Macaca mulatta: one gene and its partner. The protein of the gene in region 1 purifies or fractionates together with the protein of each later gene. This does not show direct contact. Links are inferred from orthologs where the notes say so. Each region holds a gene or a part of one and is shown in the gene's direction. Other genes may lie near its edges. The genes, in order: BAZ1B and MYO1C.

Region 1 (3,052 bases):
AGGCAGGCCATTGGGGAGATCATAGGGCATTAGAAGATGCTCGGTTTGCCCAGCCTTCACCCCTTGGGCTCTGTGTGGCCTCTGCTGTGAGTCACAGCTTTGTTATGGCTACCTGGAATGGAGGCCCCGCCCCTTTTCTCTTTAGCCACTTAGCCCTCACATGTCTACGTTGGAAGAGCCCAGGAAGGGAATTGGACCTCTTGCTTTTCTTCCCAGAGGCACCTCACCCCCACAGAATTGGCTGCTGGTGACCCAGATAGCCTGTTTGGCTTTCTGCAGTGGCTTGTTGATGCCCTTCCATGGTGTCACTGTAACCCCAGGTCCACCTGTTCTCCGAGAGCTAGTGTCCTGTTGACAGTGGCCCCCTTCAGCCGACCTCCAGTAGGACTGCTGGTGAAGACGGCCTCTGCTGCCTGCTCTCTGCTGCTTTGATTGCCATGGCCCTGCGGGGGCGAGCAAGTGGACTACTGGGAAGATGCCTGCCACCTGGGCCGAGGGTGCTCCCTGACTTGAATGTCAGAAGGTTTCAGCACCTCTGTGCCAAGGAAATAGTTGAACTCTTCCTTTTTTGAGCAGATACACTTATTTTCTGCCCTATGCACTCTTCCTCCTGTCTTGAATCTATAATAACATTGTTATTTCTTTCCTGCCAGGTGCTTCAGACCAAGCGGAGCTCCCGGAGGCAAAGCCTGGAGCTGCAGAAGTGTGAAGAGATCCTCCACAAGATCGTGAAGTACCGCTTCAGCTGGCCCTTCAGGTGAGCGCTGTGTTCTCAGGTGCAGGGGAGAGGAGTGGCCTAGCAGGTTCTAAAAGCTTCCAGAACCCCTGAGGGGCTCTCAGCCAAGCCCTTGCTTTTTAGGATGTGTCTTAGCATGGGCACTGCCGTCAAGGCTATGCAGATTCTCTATTTGGTTCTTCTCCACAGGGAGCCTGTGACCAGAGATGAGGCCGAGGACTACTATGATGTGATCACGCACCCCATGGACTTTCAGACAGTGCAGAACAAATGTTCCTGTGGGAGCTACCGCTCTGTGCAGGAGTTTCTTACTGACATGAAGCAAGTGTTTACCAATGCTGAGGTTTACAACTGCCGTGGCAGCCATGTGCTAAGCTGCATGGCGAAGACAGAACAGTGTCTAGTGGCTCTGTTGCGTAAACACCTTCCTGGCCACCCATATGTCCGCAGGAAGCGCAAGAAGTTTCCTGATAGGCTTGCTGAAGATGAAGGGGACAGTGAGCCAGAGCCCGTTGGACAGTCCAGGGGACGAAGACAGAAGAAGTAGAGAGGCAGGGCTGTGGTAAGGGATCTGAGGTGGGGGGACAGCGAGGGAGGGTGGGAGGGAGGTGAGAGAGGAAGACTGAGAACTCTGAAGAGATCGCAGGGAGTCCAGAAGCGCCCATCATCCCAAGCTTATGCTGTTTTTCTAACAGCTCTTTATGGGGCTTATTATTGGGTTGGTGGTCTTTGTCCAGAAATATTAAGGGACGAAGAGGGCCATAACCCTCCCTTCTGAGAGTTTCCAGGAGGAGTCTGAGGGTCTAGCTTTTCTGGTGAACCCAGTTCCTGTTCCTGCCTTCTTTCCTAAGGCCCCTCTCACTCTGGCTTTTACCACAGTGCCAAGCCCCTCTGGTCTCCAGGGGTGGGATTGCTGTGTTACATAGCAGGATCAGGGGTAATCAGGCCAACAGGGAAGATGGTGGCGATTTTTCTTTTTTAATCTGTATTTATATACAGTCTTGTTTCTTTAAGCCCATACTCTGTCTCTTCCCCGTCTTCCTCTCAGGTGACAGTATCAGTGAGTGCCATACAGAATTCTGTATTCACCAGCATCATGAAACAGTTGTGGTCTTTTGAGTTGATCTTGGCAGAGTAAAGGGACGTGTCCTGGAGCCATTCCTGAATCTCTCTCCCCTTCTTTGTGACAGCTCCCCTCCCCCAAAAAAATAAAAATAAGAAACCACAAAAAACAAAACTAAGGCACTTCACTTAGAGACTGGAGTCCTGCTTATAATCATGCATATAACCTTTACTTTGATGGATCTGGCCAGAGGGGTGTTGGAGCCCAGCCCACCCACATACCAGACAAGCTCTTAGGGGAGCAGAAGAAAAGCAGGAAGAATTTAAATGTTTAATTTTTTTTTAAATTGACTTTTCTAGTTATTAAAAGTTGCTTGTTTCAGCAGTGATATTGTATAAAGAACATCTTGTAAGATACTCCTGACATCTCGCTTTGGCACATGTACAGTACAGTTTCTATGATAATGTGTTTGCTCTAACTTCCCTGGCTTCTCCCTCAGCCCATCCACTCTCCTGCAGAGCAGTTGGGTTAGAGGCTCATCGAGGCAAGCAGCAACACTGGGGGCGGGGGCGGGGTGGGGCAGTGCCGCGTCTGCTGCCTCCCATGCCCTTTCTGACCTCAGACTTGGAACTCCTCAAGAACCTGAAGATTCCAGTGGTCAGTGTCAGTGGGGGGTGGGAGGAGAGAGCAACAGAGAAGCTCTGAGAGCCCCGTCCCACAACCAGTCTAGCTCTAGTTGTTATATTTAGGCAAAACTTTGTAGTCTTCTTTCCCTTTTATGATGGATTTTGATAAAAGTACAAAACAGGGTTTAATTTTCTTTTTTATCACCTTTGAATTTGGAAATGTTGAGCACCCAAGCTCTTCTGTACCTATTTAAATTAAAGTCCACCAAGGGGACTGCAGCTCCTAGAACATGAGAATCAAGCCTCTCAATATTAAACTGCGGAGTGTGGCCCCTGCTTTCTCCGTCCTCCTGCCCAAGGACGACGGGGATTGCTCCAGGGCTGCTGGGTAGTTTACCGTCCCTTCTCTAGGCATGGAGTTGGCACTGACATCACAGCTTCATAACCCCACCACCGCCAGCTTCCCCTGCCTCCTACATCCAGTCTGTTCTTGTTCATAGTGAGAATCCTGTGTTCCCACTTCAGTGACAACTGAATTGTTTGTTGTTGTTGTTTTTTTATTATTGTCTTCAAGGAGGAAGGGCCCCATTAAAGGGTGAACTTGTAATAAATTGGAATTTCAAATAA
Region 2 (3,814 bases), on another chromosome or scaffold:
ACAAGTCACTGTGCCCAGAGACGTGGCCCACGTGGGCAGGACGGCCACAGGATGGGGTGGCTGTGCTGGTCCGGCACCTGGGCTACAAGCCAGAAGAGTACAAGATGGGCAGGTGAGTAGTGCCCATGCCAGGTGCCTGCGGGGAATAGGGGTGGCAACCCCAGGCTGATCACTGCTGCTTTCCCAGGACCAAGATCTTCATCCGCTTCCCCAAGACCCTGTTTGCCACAGAGGATGCCCTGGAGGTCCGGCGGCAGAGCCTAGGTGAGAGAGAAGCCCACCTTTCCTGCCGCACGGGGTCTGTTCCGGGAAGCAGGGAAGTCACTCCCTTGGGCTCCTTCTCCAGGGAGTCCACCCCTCCCTACCAGCTCCAGCCCCACACCCAGCTCCAGGGAGTCCACTAGTCGACTTGGAACCCCCTCCCTACCAGCCCCAGCCCCACACCCAGCTCCAGGGAGTCCTCCTCCAGGGAGTCCACTAGTTGACTTGGAACCCCCTCCCTACCAGCTCCAGCCTCACGCCCGCCATCGCACCCACTGCCCCCCCTTCTCCGGGCAGTCCCCACATTCATTCTTCTTCACTACTCTGCTGCTCGCTGGCTCCTTCGGCCACTGTCCCATTCATGCCACTCATGGAGTGCAGACGGCACCAGGCTCCCAGCTGGCTCCCCGCGCTCTGGCCAATTGCCTTTCTTTCCCAACTGCAGCCACCAAGATCCAAGCTGCCTGGAGGGGCTTTCACTGGCGGCAGAAATTCCTCCGGGTGAAGCGATCAGGTTCGTGGGCCCATGGGTTTTCAGGAGGGGCGGGGTCTGGGGCCAGGGGAGGCCACCATGGTAAGAAGATGGAGGTCAGCCATCTGTGGTCTCCACGACAGCCATCTGCATCCAGTCGTGGTGGCGTGGAACGCTGGGCCGGAGGAAGGCAACCAAGAGGAAGTGGGCAGCGCAGACCATCCGGCGGTGAGCACCAGGGTGCCTTGTGGGGGCTGCAGAGCAGGGCGTGTGGGGGGTTCACCACCAGCCTCCTCGCCCTCAACCCTGTCTGGCCCCCGACCCCAGGCTCATCCGAGGCTTCATCCTGCGCCACGCGCCCCGTTGCCCCGAGAACGCCTTCTTCCTGGACCACGTGCGCACCTCTTTTTTGCTAAACCTGCGGCGGCAGCTGCCCCGGAATGTCCTGGACACCTCCTGGCCCACACCCCCACCTGCCCTGCGTGAGGTCTGTGGGCACCCCCTGCCAAGTTAGGGACCATCAAAGTACACAGCAGAAGGGTCTGATTTCTTGGGGCCAAAGGATCGGTCAGGGAGGGGCTCACGGAGGGCCCGGACCAGAGCTGGGCAGTGAAAAGTAAGGTTTCTCTTTTTTTTTTTTTTTTTTTTTTTTGAGATGGAGTCTCACACTGTCACCCAGGGAGTGGCGCGATCTTGGCTCCCTGCAACCTTTGCCTCCCGGGTTCAAGTGATTCTCCTGCCTCAGCCTCCCAAGTAGCTGGGATTACAGGCACCTGCCACTACGCCCAGCTAATTTTTTTATTTTTAGTAGAGATATGGTTTCACCATGTTGGCCTGGCTGGTCTTGAACTCCTGACCTCGGGTGATCCACCCACCTCGGCCTCCCGAAGTGCTGGGATTATAGGTGTGAACCACCGCGCCCTGCTGAGTAAGGTCTCTTGACTCAGGAGTGGAAGCATTGTCCAGATGGAGGGGGCTTTGCTTATCCAAAGGCTGGGGTAACATATGTTCGATGTCTTCAGAGGGAAGGGCCCAGGGTGTCCAGGAGCTCTGACCTCACTCTTCCCTTCAGGCCTCAGAGCTTCTGCGGGAGCTGTGCATAAAGAACATGGTGTGGAAATACTGCCGGAGCATCAGCCCTGAGTGGAAGCAGCAGGTACGGAGAGTGGTGCTGGGTGAGGATGAGGAAGTGGAGTCAGGGAACCGCAGGCATTCCTCAGAGAGTGTTGGCCTAGAGGGGCATTTACCCTGGTCTACCGTATTTACCCCGCCTACTGTATTTACCCTGGTCTATTCTATTTACCCCAGTCTACCGTATTTACCCCGGTCTACTCTACCTCGTCTATCGTATTTACCCCGGTCTACCGTATTTACCCTGCCTTCCTTATTTATCTCGGCTTATCGTATTTACTCTGCCTACCGTATTATCTCGGCCTACCGTATTTACCGCGTCTGTCGTATTTACTTTGATCTACCGTATTTATCCTGCCTACCGTATTTACCCTCGTCTACCGTATTTACTTCCGCCTACCGTATTTACCCCGTATTTACCTCGTCTATGGTATTTATCTCGTCTATCGTATTTACCCCGTCTATCGTATTTACCCCCGTCTACCGTATTTACCCCGTCTATCGTATTTACCCCCGTCTACCGTATTTACCCCGTCTATCGTATTTACCTTGTCTATCATATTTACCCCGTCTATCGTATTTACCTCGGTTTACCATATTTACCCCGCCTACCGTATTTACCCGTCTGCCGTATTTACCCCTGTCTGCCGTACTTACGCCTGTCTGCCGTATTTACCTCTGTGTGCCGTATTTACCCCTGTCTGCCGTATTTACGCTTGTCTGCCGTATTTACGCCTGTCTGCCGTATTTACCCCTGTCTGCCGTATTTACCCCTGTCTGCCGTATTTACCCCTGTCTGCTGTATTTACCCCTGTCTGCTGTATTTACCCCTGTCTGCTGTATTTACCCCTGTCTGCTGTATTTACCCCTGTCTGCTGTCGTTTCTTTGGTCTACTGTATTTACCCCGGTCTACTGGCGACCTCAGTTGGATGCCAGGCCCTGCTGGGCCTTGTGTAGGAAGTGGACGCTGGAGTACATTTGGGGTGGCCAATAGGGTTCACCTTGTGGGCCAACTGCCCTTGATTGGTAGAGACTGCTCAGAACCCTGTGTTGAAAAGTCTGCATCTTCACTTGGATGGATTGGTGATGTTTGCCCTCATTACAGGCATTGGTTGATGTGCCGTGTTTTTGCCAACTCAGTACTGGATGATTCTAAAACACCCACCCAGCATAGATAACCTCTAGTAACCTTGAGTATTAGTGATCTGCTACTTAGAAGACCCCAAGCTGGAGCTGAGTCTCAGGGCCACCAGGGCCTGATGGGGTGGGGAAACATTACAAAGGCTAGTTTCTTTTTTTTTTTTTTTTTTTTTTTTTTTGAGACGGAGTCTCGCTCTGTCGCCCAGGCTGGAGTGCAGTGGCCGAATCTCAGCTCACTGCAAGCTCCGCCTCCCGGGTTTACGCCATTCTCCTGCCTCAGCCTCCCGAGTAGCTGGGACTACAGGCGCCGCCACCTCGCCCGGCTAGTTTTTTGTAGTTTTAGTAGAGACGGGGTTTCACTGTGTTTGCCAGGATGGTCTCGATCTCCTGACTTCGTGATCCACCCGTCTCGGCCTCCCAAAGTGCTGGGATTACAGGCTTGAGCCACCGCGCCCGGCCAAAGGCTAGTTTCAAAACCCGGCAGTGCCTTCATGACACCGCTGGGGAGTGTTTGGTGGCGGCAGAGGGTCAGGAAGTGGGGGGTTGATGGGAGTGTGGGGGGCAGGGCTCAACCTCCTGGTGCTGAGCAAGAGGGGGACCAGCAAGCAGGTGAGGGAGGCTGTCTCAGGTCCTAAGGCTGGCTCTGCCCCCCAAGATAGTACCCCCCACCGTGATACTCTCCTCACCCCCCTTGTCTCCTTAGCTGCAGCAGAAGGCCGTGGCTAGTGAGATCTTCAAGGGCAAGAAGGATAATTACCCTCAGAGTGTGCCCAGACTCTTCATTAGCACTCGGCTTGGTGAGCCCTTGA

Evidence for each region.
Region 2: the proteins of BAZ1B (region 1) and MYO1C purify together in Homo sapiens (affinity purification with western blotting; 3 studies listed by BioGRID, with this or other methods). This does not show direct contact. The link is inferred for Macaca mulatta from reciprocal best matches to the Homo sapiens genes BAZ1B and MYO1C.

What each region holds. Positions count from the first base shown.
Region 1 is NC_133408.1:50,920,766-50,923,817, reverse strand, and holds the end of BAZ1B (tyrosine-protein kinase BAZ1B), read left to right. Parts: intron 1-653; coding exon 654-757; intron 758-925; coding exon 926-1,283; 3' UTR 1,284-1,298; exon of another isoform or gene 1,299-1,784; 3' UTR 1,785-2,362; downstream 2,363-3,052. UniProt on the Homo sapiens protein: Atypical tyrosine-protein kinase that plays a central role in chromatin remodeling and acts as a transcription regulator. Involved in DNA damage response by phosphorylating 'Tyr-142' of histone H2AX (H2AXY142ph).
Region 2 is NC_133421.1:3,017,808-3,021,621, reverse strand, and holds part of MYO1C (unconventional myosin-Ic), read left to right. Parts: coding exon 1-112; intron 113-187; coding exon 188-264; intron 265-706; coding exon 707-775; intron 776-876; coding exon 877-961; intron 962-1,060; coding exon 1,061-1,220; intron 1,221-1,805; coding exon 1,806-1,889; intron 1,890-3,708; coding exon 3,709-3,802; intron 3,803-3,814.